2 linked regions of the Struthio camelus genome follow. The protein of the gene in region 1 binds, or shares a complex with, the protein of each later gene. Links are inferred from orthologs where the notes say so. Each region holds a gene or a part of one and is shown in the gene's direction. Other genes may lie near its edges. The genes, in order: TOX4 and WDR82.

Region 1 (7,603 bases):
TGCCCCGCCAGCCGCTTTTTGGTGTTTTCCTAACTCGGGCGTCCCCGAAGCGGCTTTTCCCCGGCAAAACCGTTTCCCCGCAAATTCATGACGGGAGAGGGGGAAAAAAAACCCCAAAACCACCTTTTTGAAACTCAAGCAGCTGTTTGTTGGGGTTTTTTTTTTTAAGGAAAATGGGGGGAAAAACAAAAAAAAGCAAAAATCCTGCTGCTGCTGTAAGTTTTCATCTTTCCCTATAGCGGAAAAAGGAAATGCTTGAGGAAAATGAGGAAAAAGCCCTTTAAAATACTTCATGTTCCTGTTTATAAGGCAGAACAGGTGAACGTGAAACGTCTGCATTGTTTAACAGAAAAAAAAAAGTATATTTTGTGTATGTGTATAGATATATATATATATATATTTTTTTTTTTTTTTTTTTTGCTTTTCTGCACAATTGCTGTGTTTCTGTTTTTTGGGGCGAGGAGAAAGAAGGCGAAACCCTGCGATTTTGGCCAAAGCGCTTTATCCCGACCGCTCGTCCTCCCCTCCAGCGCCGCACGTCGCGCGAGTGAAAAGAGGAGGAGGAAAAAAAAAAAACCCAAAACAACCTGCCCCAGCTCCAAAACTGATGCTCGGCCGCGAGTAGTTTTCCTCACCGGAGCGAAAACGTGTCGGTGGAGGGGGAGGAAACGGGACCGAATCGGGTGGGAAAAAGGGGGGGAAACAGGATTGAATCTGGGGAAAATGAGGAAAACTGAGGAAACGGGCTCAAATCGGGAGGGAAAATGGGGGGGAAACGGGGAGGAAACCAGGATCGAGTCGGGTGGGAAATGGGGAAAATGGGGGGAAATGGGATTGAGTCGGGTGGGAAATGGGGAAAAGGGAGGAAACAGGATCAAATCAGGTGGGAAAATGGGGGGAAATGGGATCGAATTGGGTGGGAAATGGGGGAAACGGGGAGGAAAGGGATTGAATCAGGTGGGAAAACGGGATTGAATCAGATGGGAAATTGGGGGGGGAAATGGGATCGTTCGCGGGAAAGAGGCGACGAGGAGGTTCGGGGCGGGAAATTCCCGTGCCGAAAACATCGTGGTCGGGGCTGGGCCGGGGGATTTACGGAGGCGGCCGGCGTCGAACGACGCCGCGAGCGGTCACGGCGTTTAAAAAAAGAAAACTGAAAAATCAAAAAAAGAGAAAAAAAAAAAAAAAAAAAAAGCTCGTTTACAGGCAGCGGAGACGGCGCTGAAGCGGCAGCGGAGCCGCCCCGGCGAGAAACGCAGCTCGAAGCCGCCGTCTTTTTTCCTCTCCTTTTCCCTCCAACCCAAAACGAAGGGGGCGATTCGTTCAGCAGCAGCCGGAACCGTCTCCCGAGCCCGGAGCGCCGTGTCGGGCGGCGGAGGAAGGCGCCGTCCCCGCGGGTTGCTGGGGACCGATTTTGATGCCGTTGGCCTGGAAAAGGAGAATCGGGGAGAGAGGGGAGCGGGAGCCGCCGCTTCCCTCTGCCCCGCCGGCTCCGGGCGCTCACCTCGTTGCTCACGTCGAACAGGCCCTGCTGGATCTTGCCGTAGATCTCCTTGGCCGTGTCGATAAACGCCTGCCAACGAGAGGCAAAAAAAGGAGGGGGGAAAAAAAGGGGGAAAAAAAAGGAGGAAAAAACAAAAAAAAAAAAAAGAGGGAAAACCAGCTGCCCCCAGTGGCTCTGAGAGGGGATTTCCCACCGGCGAGCAGGAAAGCATAAAGAAATATATACGTATGTGTATTTATATAACCGCCGGCCCCCCCCCCCAAATAATCCCTTCACCTCTTCGACGTTGGCCGCCGTCTTAGCCGACGTCTCCATGAAAACCAGCCCGTGCTCCCGGGCGAAGGCTTCGCCCTCCTCCTTCCGCACGTCCCGCCGCGACTCCAGGTCGCTGCCGAGGCAGGAGACGGATTCGGCCGAGGGGCAGGACGCAAGAAAAGAAAGGGGGGGTGAGGTGGGTGAAAAAAACGAAAAAACAAAAAAACCTCCCTTCTTAGAGTCCGGGACGAGTCTCCGGACTCGCTCTTGTTGTTTTTATTTAACCTCTTGTTCCCGATCAGCATGATGACCATGTTGGAGCTGGAGTGTTGGCGGGCGTCTTCCAGCCAGGACGTCAAGTGGTTGAAGGTCTCGCGCCTGCGCGGGGGCCAAGAGCGATTCGGGGTGGGGGGCGGCGGAGGGGGGACGACGTCGAGGCCGACGCGAGCGCGGCCGGCGGCGATACCTGGTGATATCGTAAACCAGCAGCGCCCCGGCCGCTCCTCGGTAGTAGGAACGCGTGATCGAGCGGAAAGACTCCTGTCCAGCCTGGAAAAAGAGAGATATTTATATATATAGAGAGAGAGAGAGAGTTTTTTGTTTTTTTCTTTTTAAAAAAAAGGGATGGTCCCGATACGCTGCTGTTTTTTCTTTCTCCCCCGCGGCCTCACCGTATCCCAGATCTGCAGCTTGATCTGCTTGTTCTCGACGCTGATCATGCGCGCCCCGAACTCGACGCCTGCAAGAGAGGGCGCGGGGCTGCCGGACGCGGGCTCGGAGGAGCCGGGGGAAACGCGGGGCCGGGCTCCGCTCCGGCCGGGATCCTCACCGATGGTCAGGTCGTGGACGGGCTGGAAGCGCTTGTCGGTGAACTGCAGCAGCAGGCAGGACTTGCCGACGCCTGCGGGCGGACGGACGGACGGGCTCCGGCTCCCTCCGCGACTGCTGCCCTCGATCTCCCCCCAAAAATACCTCCCCCCTTGTTTTCTCCCCCCTCTCCTACATCCTGGCTGCTCCCCACACCCCCAGCTCCCTCCGGCCACCGGCCCCCTTTTGCCTCCCCCCTCAATCCCCCCCCCCAAATGACCCCTTTCTGCCCCCCTCAGGCTCTTCTGCCCCCCTAAAGCCCCTTCCTGCCCCCCCAGAGACCCCTCTTGTCCCCCCAGAGCCCCTTCCTCCCCCCAGACCCCTTTCCTGTCCCCCCAGACCCCTTTCCTGTCCCCCCAAAGCCCCCTCTTGTCCCCCCAGAGCCCCCTCTTGTCCCCCCAACCCCTTTCCTGTCCCCCAGAGCCCTTCATGCCCCCCTAAAGCCCCTTCCTCCTCCCTTAGACCCCTTCCTGCCCCTCCAAAGCCCCTTCCTGCCCCACTTCAGGCTCTTCTACCCCCCCCCGAAACCCATCCTGCCCCCTCAGACCCCCTTTCTGCACCCCCAGAGTCCCATCCTGCCCCCCCAAAGCCCCTTCCTTCCCCTCCAGACCCCTTCCTGCCTCCCCCAGAGCCTCTTCCTCCACCCCAGACCCCTTTCTGCCCCCACAGAGCCCCATCCTGCCCCCTCCAACCCCTTCCTGCCCCCCCAAAGCCCCCTTTTGCCCCCCAAATCCCCTTCCTGTGCTCCCTAGAGCCCCTTCCTGCCCCCCAGACCCCTTTCTGCCCCCCAGAGCCCCATCCTGCCTCCTTCAACCCTCTCCTGCCCCCCTAAAGCCCCTTTCTGTGCCCCCCAGAGCCCATTCCTGCCCCCCCAAAGCCCCTTCCTGTGCTCCCTAGAGCCCCTTTCTGCGCCTTCAAAGCCCCTTCCTTTCCTCCAGACCCATTCCTGCCCCCCTAGAACCTCTTCCTCCACCCCAGACCCCTTCCTGCCCCCCAAAGCCCCTTTTTGCCCCCCAAATCCCCTTCCTGTCCTCCCTCGAGCCCCATCCTGCCCCCCCAGAGCCCCTTTCTGTGCCTCCCAGAGCCCCATCCTGCCCCCTCAGACCCCTTTCTGCCCCCTCAAAGCCCCTTCCTTCCCCCCCAGACCCCTTCCTGTCCCCCAAAGCCCCTTTTTGCCCCCCAAAGTCCCTTCCTGTGCTCCCTAGAGCCTCTTCCTGCCCCCAGACCCCCTTTCTGTGCCCCCCCAGAGCCCCCTCCTGCCCCCTCAGACCCCCTCCTGCCCCCTCAGACCCCCTCCTGCCCCCTCAGAGCCCCTTCCTGTCCCCCCAAAGCCTCTTTTTGCCCCCCAAAGCCCCTCCTGTGCTCCCTAGAGCCTCTTCCTGCCCCCAGACCCTTTTCTGCCCCCCAGACCCCCTTTCTGTGCCCCCCAGAGCCCCATCCTGCCCCCCAGAGCCCCTTCCTGTGCTCCCTAGAGACCCTTCCTTCCCCCCTCAGACCCCTTTCTCCCCCCCACAGCCCCTTCCTGCCCCACTTCAGGCTCTCCTGCCCCCTCAGAGACCCTTCCTGCCCCCCGGCCCGGTACCGGTATCGCCGATGATGATGTATTTGAAGAGATACGCGTAAGACATGATGCCCGGAACCAGGTCCGCCCAGGGCCGCTCTGTCCTCGGAGGCCGGCCGCCTCTACTCCTCCGGCTTCCGGCGGCGCTCTGCCCGCCCCGGAGGCCGCCTCTACTCCTCCGGCTTCCGGCGGCGCTCTGCCCGCCCCGGCGGCCGCCTCTACTCCTCCGGCTTCCGGCGGCGCTCTGCCCGCCCCGGCGGCCGCCTCTACTCCTCCCGCTTCCGGCGGCGCTCTGCCCGCCCCGGCGGCCGCCTCTACTCCTCCCGCTTCCGGCGGCGCTCTGCCCGCCCCGGCGGCCGCCTCTACTCCTCCCGCTTCCGGCGGCGCTCTGCCCGCCCCGGCGGCCGCCTCTACTCCTCCCGCTTCCGGCGGCGCTCTGCCCGCCCCGGCGGCCGCCTCTACTCCTCCCGCTTCCGGCGGCGCTCTAGGCAGAACCTGGGCGCTCTGGGGCCGGGGGCCGCCGGCTCCACTGCTCCTACCCGGCCCTGCCAGCTCGGCAGGGCCAGAAAAGACCCAAACGCGACTTTTTTCCCCCTCCCACCCCGTCTCCTAGGGGGGCTCCCGCCGCCGGCGGGGGGGGGAGGGAGGGAGGGAGAGGCCGCCTCTATGACCCTCGCGCCGGAAGTGGAGTGACGCGGCGTGACGCGAGGGCGGGGAGGCGGGACTTCCGCTTCCGGGGTCGGGGGCCGGAGCGCGTCGCGGGGAGACTCTCGCTCGGCGGCGGCGGCGCCATGGAGGTGAGCGGGGCCCGGGACCGGGGGGGGGAGGTGTTGTCGTGGAGGTGGAGGCCCCGTGGGGAGAGCCGGGCACCGGGGGGGGGAGATGGGGGGGCGATGAGGGGAGTTAGGGGGTGCTGGGGGCTACTGGGGGGGATATGGGGGGAGTTAGGGGGAGATAGGGGGTGCTGGGGGCTGCTGGGGGGGAGATGGAGAGAGTTAGGGGGATATAGGGGGTGTTGGGGGCTGCTGGGGGGGAGATGGGGGGAGTTAGGGGGATATAGGGGGTGCTGGGGGCTGCTGGGGGGGAGATGGAGAGAGTTAGGGGGATATAGGGGGTGTTGGGGGCTGCTGGGGGGGATATGGGGGGAGTTAGGGGGATATAGGGGGTGTTGGGGGCTGCTGGGGGGGATATGGGGGGAGTTGGGATATAGGGGGTGCTGGGGGCTGCTGGGGGGGATATGGGGGGAGTTGGGATATAGGGGGTGCTGGGGGGAGATGGAGGGAGTTAGGGGAGATAGGGGGTGCTGGGGGCTGCTGGGGGGGGAGATGGAGGTGTTGGGGGGCGATGGGGGGAGTTGGGGGGAGTTGGGGGCTACTGGGGGGGAGATGGGGGTAGTTAGGGGAGATAGGGGGTGCTGGGGGGTGCTGGGGGGGAGATGGAGGGTGTTGGGGGGAGTTGGGGGATATGGGGGGAGTTAGGGGGTGCTGGGGGCTACTGGGGGGATATGGGGGGAGTTAGGGGTATATAGGGGGTGCTGGGGGCTGCTGGGGGGGAGATGGAGGGTGTTGGGGGGCGATGGGGGGAGTTGGGGGGTGTTGGGGGTTACTAGGGGGATATGGGGGTGAGTTGGGGGGTGTTGGGGGCTGCTGGGGGGGATATGGGGGGAGTTAGGGGGATATAGGGGGTGTTGGGGGCTGCTGGGGGGGAGATGGAGGGTGTTGGGGGGCGATGGGGGGAGTTGGGGGGTGTTGGGGGCTATTAGGGGGGATATGGGGGGAGTTAGGGTAGATAGGGGGTGCTGGGGGGGAGATGGAGGGTGTTGGGGGGTGGGGGGGGAGTTGGGGGTGCTGGGGGCTACTGGGGGGGATATGGGGGGAGTTAGGGGAGATAGGAGGTGCTGGGGGCTTCTTGGGGGGATATGGGGGGATATAGGGGTATATAGGGGGTACTGGGGACTGCTGGGGAGGAGATGGGGGGAGATGGGGGTGCTGGGGGCTATTGGGGGGCGATGGGGGCTGCTGGGGGGTGATGGGGGAGATGGGGTGCTGGGGGCTGTTGGGGGGTGATGGGGGGAGTTGGTGTTGGGGGCTACTGGGGAGAGCTGGGGGAGCTGGGTGGTGTTGGGGCAGATGGTGGGACATAGGGGTGCTGGGGGTTACTGGGGGGTGCTGGGGGGGAGATGGGGGGTGTTGGGATCTATTAGGGGGTGCTGGGGGCACACTGGGGCGGAACTGGGAGCTATTGGGGGCACTGGGAGGGTGCTGGGGGCTGCTGGGGGCACTGGGAGGGTGCTGGGGGCTGTTAGGAGGGTGCTGGAGGCTATTGGGAGGTGCATGGGGCACTGGGAGGGTGCTGGGGGCTATTGGGGGGGTTTGGGGGGCACTGGGAGGGTTCTGGGGGGTGCTGGGGGCACTGGGAGGGTGCTGGGGGCTGTTGGGAGGTGTTGGGGGCACTGGGAGGGTGCTGGGGGCTATTGGGGGGGTTTGGGGGACACTGGGAGGGTGCTGGGGGGTGCTGGGGGCACTGGGAGGGTGCTGGGGGCTGTTGGGAGGTGTTGGGGGCACTGGGAGGGTGCTGGGAGCTGTTAGGGGGGTTTGGGGGACACTGGGAGGGTGCTGGGGGCTGTTAGGGGGGTTTGGGGGACAGTGGGAGGGTTCTGGGGGGTGCTGGGAGCACTGGGAGGGTGCTGGGGGCTGTTGGGAGGTGCTGGGGGCACTGGGAGGGTGCTGGGAGCTGTTAGGGGGGTTTGGGGGGCACTGGGAGGGTGCTGGGGGCTGTTAGGGGGGCTTGGGGGACACTGGGAGGGTTCTGGGGGGTGCTGGGAGCACTGGGAGGGTGCTGGGGGCTGTTAGGGGGGCTTGGGGGGCACTGGGAGGGTGCTGGGGGCTGTTGGGAGGTGTTGGGGGCACTGGGAGGGTGCTGGGGGCTGTTAGGGGGGTTTGGGGGACAGTGGGAGGGTTCTGGGGGTATTGGGGAGCGCTGGGAGGGTGCTGGGGGCTACTGGGAGCGCCGGGGAGGTGCCGGCGGCCCGTTGCTGTCCTCAGCCGCCTCCGTTTCTCTCCCTCCCGGCCGGCCGGGCGCCGCGCAGTTCCCCGGCGGCAACGACAACTACCTGGCCATCACCGGCACGGCTCACCCCTTCCTGACGGGGGCCGAGGTGAGGCGGCGGCGGGGGGGGGGGGCCGGTCGGCGGAGGAAACGGGGCGGTGGGGCAGCCCCACCTTCCTCCTCCTCCTCCTCCTCCTCGCCGCGCAGACCTTCCACACGCCCAGCCTGGGCGACGAGGAGTTCGAGATCCCCCCCATCGCCCTGGACGCCGACCCCTCGCTGGCCGTCTCCGACGTGGTGGGCCACTTCGACGACCTGGGCGACCCCGGCAGCGCCGCCGACGCCGGTTTCTCCGCCCAGTACGGCGT
Region 2 (7,899 bases), on another chromosome or scaffold:
TTCACACTTTGTAAAAGATAAAATATCTGCAGGTGGGAGGGACCAACTGATCACCGCTCAGATGCGACGAGTCCCGTGCACGAGCGGGTGTGCAGGGGCTTTCCCCTCTGTTCACCGTGGCACTCCTGCAGCGGTCACTGGGAAAGAGGATGACGGTGGGCAGAAGTGGTACCATTAGAGCAGAGAGCTCCATAGCAGGTTTGCTAGGCCAGCAAGAGAGAAAGGATGGAGTCCGAGTATCTTTGTTCGAGAATATGCTGAGCTCTGGAAACCCAGGAGTCCTAATTTCCAATACACTGTTTTCTGTATGTTTCTTGGAGAAGAAATATGTTGCTCTCATGACTGATTTGCTCACCAGGAAAGTGTCAACAAGGTCTCTTTGCCTTTGATGGGGAATGTAGCCTAAGGCCAAACACAGGGAAGATAAGTGTTCTGCTCAGCATTTTTTATATATATAGATCAGCATCATTAGCAAAAAAAATTAACTACATTTGACATATGCCTCTTACTAGTTTTTCTAGGTCACACTCCCTTCACTCCCTATATACCTTTTGAAAATGATTTTCCCATGTGCTGGGGATTGTGGGGAAGAAAAAATTTTGACCAGAAAAATCCTTCTGTAGTTCAGTGCGGAACAGTACTACCCTGAAGCCAAGTCCGTGCCAAGTCTACTTCCTTTCATGCTGCAATTCCTCAAGCTCCCTATTCCGAGTCAAATTGCAGTCAAAGTTGACAGTCATTTAAAATACAGAGGAGGATCATAGCATTCTAGAGAAGATGAAAAGTTGCCAGCCTTGACGACTGGAATAATAGAAAGGGGGCGAAATTCAGTACTGCAGAATACAAGGTCATGCTCTTTGGGATTAATAGCAAAAATGTATGAGCTCTTCAGCTGGAAATGACATAAGAGGAGAAAGAGCCAGGAATATTAATCAGTCACAGGATTACAATTACAGCTGCCTTCTAGGCTGAGGTGACTGGCTATGGGAACAAGGGGAGAGTGGCAGATGTAATCTACCTTGACTTCAGTGAGGTTTGTGGCACCATTCTCATTAGCAAGCTGAAGAAATTGGGCAAATATACTGCTAGACCGGCTAAAAACCAGCTCAGCCGCTGGGCTCAGAGGGTAGAAATCAGTGGCTCAAGTGTCCAGCTGGCAGCCGGTAACGAACAGGGAAGCCCTGCGTCCATACTGGGGGTCCGTGCTTCCCACAGCTTCTTTGGTGGGATAAGCTTCTGGAGATAGCACAGAGTGCATCCTCAGTAACTTTGTGGATGACACTAACTGGGGGGAGTAGCTGACACACTGAATGGTGGAACAACCTGCCAGAGGAACCGTGATAAACTCGAGGACAGGGCCAACAGAATCCTCGTGATGTGCAGCAAGGAGAAGTGAGAAGTTTTGCAGCTGGGGCAGGACCCCCAGGCATTAAGGCAGACTGGGAACCGACTGGCTGAGTAGCAGCCCTGCTGACAAGGAGAGAGGGGGTCTGGATGAACGTCAAGGGGAATATGAGCAACCAGTGTGCTCTCCTTGCAAGTCAGTCATGCTATGGACATGGCTACCCAGAGGGGTCGTGGTCTCCCTCCTTGGAGGTTTTAAAGACTTGGCTAGACAAAACTATGGCCAGCCTGATCTTGCCTTAGTGATAGTCCTGCCCTGAGCAGAAGGGTGGACTAGGGACCTCCGGAAGTCCCTTTTACCAACACTTCTGTGATGTAGCAGCAAGGACAGGGTTGGATGATCCAGAGCCTCATGCTTATTTTCAAAAGCCCATAAAGAGGTGCCAAGTTGTGCGCCACAAGCCTTCCACACAAGCCTTCAAACCCCGTCACTCACAGAGAATCATCACCCACAGCAGAGTCCAACAAAAAAGCATTCACCTGAGCAGCGTTGTTTCAGCAGAAGCATCTCACTGAAATTCATGTCTATTCATTTGAGCAAATGCAAACACGGGACTGTTTGTATTGCGCAGGTCAGGTTACAGTGGTAGGTAACATATAAATGCATAGGTAGCATCACTGCATTTGATCAATATTAGTCAAGTAGCAATTAAACCTCTTTTCTATTAACTAGTTTTGCAGGGCCACTCTCCATAATTCCTACATAATGTGACATTTTGCTAGAAGGTCCAATTATCCTGCCAGATGAATTCCAGCTTTGTATAAACTGACAAACTAAGTTCCAATGATTAGGAAGAAAGGCAGAAGAAAGAATAAAAAGGGAGTGACAAAATATCAAATCAACAACCCACAGTGTTATACAACTCTAAAACTTGGCTAAGTATTGTAGGTGTTTTGAAGTAAATTGTCTTATGATGGTATCGATGAGTCATCTGCTGGGCCCACATGAGATAATCCAGGCTTTGATCTTATAATTTGCAGTGTGCAGGAGGAATGCTGTTCTGCACCTCTCTAACTTAATCTTTCCTTACATGAAAATATATTTTAGGTTTTGAGCTGACCTGTAATGGGGTAGCTGACCCGGAGGCCTTCCGAAGTAATGAAGGTGTCTTTTGTTGAGTCTTCGTGGACGCCAGTGTTAAAATCGTGTATTCATTTCAGAGTAAAGCTTGTTGAATCCTTCCGGCCGGCCAGTCTGATCAGAATATAAAAGAGTGAATTGGACCGGAAGCGATCTAAATCTGTAACGGTGAGCTGTAATAAAGAAACTGTAAGAGCAAGTAAGCACAGAAAAGACTTTTGTTTTAGGAAATGAGCTATATGCACACGAAATAATTAACTCTATTCCAATGACATTTAAACAGACCTTTGACGATACTTCCCAGACATGCTGTTGTTTGACCACAGGAGGGCAATATTATTCTAAAAGCAAACTCTGTTCTGGGGACTAAGAAAGGAAAATGCAGTTAACATGTACAAAGGCATCTAGGGTTGACATTTCTTTCTTTCGGTTCTAAGCTTCTTGGGGACACAAGTAATGAAAGGTTGGCTGTTCTCCTAAAATTAAAATACCGGGTTGCTGGAAATTTTAATGGGGGAATTTTAAAGATTCTCACAGCTATTGCTATACTCCAAGAACAATTCTTTAAGATATGAGAAGTCTGAAAACATGATCATAAAACCTGACATCACGACTCACGAGAGCAAGAAAGCAATTCCACTGCCTTTTTACAGGAGCACAGGCCGCAACACCCAAGACATCTCGGAAGCCCCTGGAGATTGTGCCGCTCATCCCCATCTGAAGTCCTACGCCGTCCGTTGGTATAGCACTAGCATTTCTGCAATAGTGCGGGGAGGCCAGGTCGGAGAATAAAAAATCGTGGGAAATAAGACAATGTCTATAACACTTTAACTGGAAACAGAACAGAAGAATGAGAAAAAACATCATCACTGTGCATTTTAAAGGAAAGGGGGTCTGACTCTCACAGCGGGTGCAGATAAATATGGGAGCTAAGCCTCAAGGCTAAGGAAGCGCGCTGCGGGGTAGAGCCGCGTCCTGCTCACTCCAGAGCAGGAGGCCTGAGGAGAAGCGCTCCCGTTCGGTCACCGCGGGGAGCTGGCGGGAAGCGCTGGGGCCGGGGTACAGGCTCCGCAGCTGCAGCCCACCCCGAGCACCCTCGCTCCCGTTTCCTCACCAGCAGCGGGCAGAGCAAAACGGAACAAAACCCCTAGCGAAAGACATGGCCGGTAGCGAACGCGGCAGGTTATTCGTGGAGTAAAACTTTGTCGCGGCTTTTCTGGACAAACGTCGAGGCGCGCTGCTGAAGCCGCCACGCTAACCGTCCTTCGCTTTGCACCTGTTTCACCCGCAAAACCCACACTGCCACAGCAGCTTCCCTTATGTTTTTGAGGCGGCGCCAGGCCCGAAACCCGCCATCACGTCCGGCGCGCGATGGGAGCTGCACCCCCGCAGAAGTGGGGGGGGGGAGGCGCGTAAGGCGCCACGGTCTCAGGCGGCGGGGGGCGAGCCGAAGCGGGCGGCGGGCCGGCCGCGGCGCAGCAGCGCTCCCCTGTAGCAGAGCAGCTGCGCGAGGCCGGCAGGCGAGCCGGGGCGCAGCAGGCGGCCGGGCTGCGGGCAGCGGAGCGGGACGCGCTGCCCGGGCCTGCCCGGCGCTCCCGGTGCCGGCGGCGGCGGCCCACCTGCGGCTCGAGGCGGCCGGCCGGCCGAGCGCGGCGGGAAGTGACGTTCCCCCGGCGGCGCGGACGCCTGGGGCCGCCGCCGGGCCGGGTGCGCGGGGCAGGCCCAGCGGGGCGCGATGCCAGCCCCCCTCCCCCCCCCGGCCCACGCGTTGCCCCCGGTTCGGGGTGGACGTTAGCCCCGGGGCACAGAGGAGCTGCCCCCCCCCCTCCCCGCGGGCAGCCAGGCCCACACCCCGGCTGCGCCGGCCCTGCCTGCGGCCTGCGGCCACCCCCCCCCCCCGCCCCGGGGTGTCCCTGTCCCCCCAGGCGCAGGCTGCCTGCGCCCCTCGCGCGGCCTGGGGGACCCTGGCGTTGAAGGCAAGGCTCAGCCCGTGGACCCTGTGTGCTTAGGACTACACCGGCCTGTCCCGTCCCGCCCCGGGCCCCGCCGGCCAGGGGGAGGGCGACAGCCGCCCCACGGCGGGAGGGTAGGCGCCCCTGCTGCCACACTCAACATGGCCGCCAGCCCCCACCTCCGTGCCCTTCTCTATCCCAGCAGGCCGCGCGCGCGGCCCGCCGCCTTCCCACAACGCCCCGCGGCGGCGCGCCCCCCCCTTCCCGCCCTCCATCCCACAGTGCCCCGCGCGCCGCCCCCGCCCGTTCCCGGCGCAGCAAGATGGCGGACACAATGAGGAGGAGCCGCCTCTCCGCGGCCTGACCGGGCCGAGCCCCGCCGGAGGGCGCCCCCCGCCCGCCCCGGCCCGCCGCCCCCCCCCCCCCCGCCGCCGCCGCCCCCCACCCCCGCCAAGCCGACGGGCCGGGCCGCGCCGCGCCGCGCCCGGCCGCCGCCCGCCGCCGCCGCGGGGCCCCGCCCGGCTCGCCGCCGCCCTCGGCGCGGCCCGGCGGCGGCATGAAGCTAACGGACAACGTGCTGCGGAGCTTCCGCGTGGCCAAGGTCTTCCGCGAGAACTCGGACAAGATCAACTGCTTCGACTTCAGCCCCAACGGCGAGACCGTCATCTCCAGCAGCGACGACGACTCCATCGTGCTCTACGACTGCCAGGAGGGAAAGTGAGTGCGGGCCCGGGCCCTCGGCGGCGCCGCCGCCGCCCCCCGTGCGGGATGGGGCTCCCCGGGGCGGCCGGCGGTGGCCGCTCTCTGCCCGCCGGCTGCTGAGCTTGGGTGATGTCCTTTCTTCTTTCTTGTTCTCGGGCTAAATTTAAGCTCGTGGGTAGACGGGCAGCAGTGCGTGACAGGAAATATTTATAAACGCTTAAGGTGGGGCGCGGAGGTGGGAGCACCACAGTCCTGTCAGGTTTGTCTGCTTGTCTTTGCTCGCTCCCTTCGCTAGGCCAGAGCTACTGATGGTAATTGGGTGTTGGAGCGTTTTCCTAGCTACGAGGAATGAATATTGCTTAAGGTGAGGATTTTGAATCTGGTGGCAGGTCTAGGCCTCGGTATTGTCACGGGTGGGCAAACTGACTTCTCAGGCTGGTCTGGGTTTAAATCTCAGTAAGTGAAATAGAGGCAGTTGCGGTGAGCAATGTGCAGATGTGCCATTTTAAGTAGTTAGTCCAACTGTGGCTTCTTGGTTAAGTACTTAAACTTAAAGATGAGGGTGGCATGGTATGTGTCCAGAATAACTTTCAGAAGCTCTGTGACGTCTTCATTAAAACGTAGTTTCTAAATGATACCTGGGAGTGTTGTGGGTAAAGGTGATTCTCTGTGCTTTAAATCTTAATTTTTTTCTAGTCACCTCTTCATCTATGAAGTGCAGTTAAGATACGTATGTGACTTACATGCATCTTCAGAAATTGTCTAAATTCATATTGAATCAATTAAGATGTTTACTGATTGATCTTATTTGACGTTATTAATGAATTATTAATGAATTAAGAGGTATTTATTTTTCATTGAACAGAGTTGTGCAGTTATCTTCTTTCACTGTTCATGCAATCCTCGTCCCATCTTTTGGATAAAAAGCAGTAATTCGCACAGCCCCTGAAATATGGTTCTCTTGGTCGATCAGGGGATGCAAATATGCAGACAAGGCAATCAGTAACTTTTGTAGGTTGTGTCTCGGAATGTCTGCAAAAGAAGACATTTCTTCTTCTGTAAGAGTTGGACCAAACTGAGCCAATGATGTCATTATTCCATTAAAAACTTGGTGTTTGGATAATTCAGAGTTGCTTAAAAAATGTATTTGCATGTTTACAGTATTGATTTTCAGTAAAAGCTCTAATGTGCCATAGAGGGGTGGTTACTGGGCCTGGAATTGAGCTTGGGAAACCAAAGAGACTTGGCCCTTTGGTGCATCATGTAATAATGATTTTAAAAATTGAGAATGTTGCAATCACAGCTTTTCTTTGCATGTAAGTCGTTGTGTGTTTGGCACAAGTATGTGTTTGGCTCATTTAAGTTCTTTTAAGTTGTGTTTAAGTTTTAACTTTCCTGTTGTTGTGGAGATGCACTTTTGAGTTTTGTGGGGGCTTTTGTTTTTTGGAAAGTCTTGGGGAGATGCAAGCAGGCAGCGTGACATTCACATATCAAATAAAAGAAAAAGAGGATGCAGTTTGTAGGAGAGAGAATGAATGGGGCAGCACAGCAATACAGGAGTGGAAAATAAATTGCTTAGGGAGAAGAAGGAGACAGAGGTGTCAGTGTTGCATAAGTTTTACAGTAAGCCTGGTATTCCTAGTCGTTTTGCTGTTTTCAAGCAGACCAAGACATTGCGCTTGCTGTGTTGGAAAGAATGCATTCTGCTTATTCTCTTTATTTTGTAGAATTGTTGTTGTATGTTGTTTTATACTTCTGTTTAGTTTGCTTGCTTTACAAATTAACATTCTTGCCACTCCCTGATGCAGTGAGCTTTGATTTGAGAGGAGTTAGTTTTTATTTATATAAGAATAGGTAACATAATATGAATGCTATCTGCTATGGATAGTAGTCTAGATCCTAATTACATACAGTAGTAGAAGGGCTGAGTGATGTTAATGCAGATACTATTGATTCTTCTTCCCCTTTCCAACTTGTAAAGAGCAATTTGATGGGTTGGAAGGCTTTTGGTCCTTTCATTCCTATCTCCGTCTAGTCCTGATGTATGCTTTACAGTGAAAGGATTTGTTTCAATGAAGTTTGCAGTAATAGACCATCGATCTTTTACGTCTGTGTTACAGGGCAATGAGAGCATTTTCAGCAAGGTAACCCATGTTTCAGAATGCGTTTCTCTAGCGGCTGCAAAATTAATTTGAAAGTTGCTCGTGTACTATCAATTGACTTAAAACCATAAATGTGGTTTTTAGAGATGTCTAGGGATGCGGGGCACGCTTTTTTCTCATCTTAGAAAGTTTTAGCTGTGAATTACTTCTCTACAGGAGATTCATGTGGAGATGAAAAATTGAATCTGTGAATGATTATTGTTGTGATGTGGTGGAGTTTGACAGATTCTGGCCAATAGTTAGTTTTTTTTTCCTTTTTTTCCTGTTTTTTTTTTTTAAACAAACCAATGTTTCAAGGGTCTGGATCTCTCACCTTCTTATATATATCATTCCTAATGAATCTAAGGGCTGACAGAAGGCAGTTTTCTGCCTGCTGGGTTTCAGTATAATGAGTCCTACTTCAGCAGAGGATGGCCTAAATGGTAGAACTTTTCTCAGTGTAACAGTGGCAACATTTGGGGGTTTTCATTCCTTTTATTAGGAGCTCAGCTGATAGAATTAAAAGTGCAACTTTGTTTAGTTGCACTTTAAGTATGCGCTTGCCTGGTCTGCTGTGCTTTGCTGTACCTTAATAGCCCATACAAGCAAGCCCATCTGA

The links.
Region 2: TOX4 (region 1) and WDR82 share a complex: the UniProt entries of both Homo sapiens proteins name them as parts of the PNUTS-PP1 phosphatase complex. The link is inferred for Struthio camelus from reciprocal best matches to the Homo sapiens genes TOX4 and WDR82.

Annotation. Positions count from the first base shown.
Region 1 is NC_090970.1:69,524-77,126, forward strand, and holds the start of TOX4 (TOX high mobility group box family member 4), read left to right. Parts: upstream 1-4,592; 5' UTR 4,593-4,978; coding exon 4,979-4,984; intron 4,985-7,275; coding exon 7,276-7,344; intron 7,345-7,442; coding exon 7,443-7,603. Other genes in the region: RAB2B (ras-related protein Rab-2B), read right to left, coding at 977-1,892, 2,045-2,137, 2,226-2,308, 2,431-2,498, 2,589-2,660, 4,209-4,254. UniProt on the Homo sapiens protein: Transcription factor that modulates cell fate reprogramming from the somatic state to the pluripotent and neuronal fate. In liver, controls the expression of hormone-regulated gluconeogenic genes such as G6PC1 and PCK1.
Region 2 is NC_090955.1:22,934,956-22,942,854, reverse strand, and holds the start of WDR82 (WD repeat-containing protein 82), read left to right. Parts: upstream 1-4,740; 5' UTR 4,741-4,993; coding exon 4,994-5,154; intron 5,155-7,899. UniProt on the Homo sapiens protein: Regulatory component of the SET1/COMPASS complex implicated in the tethering of this complex to transcriptional start sites of active genes.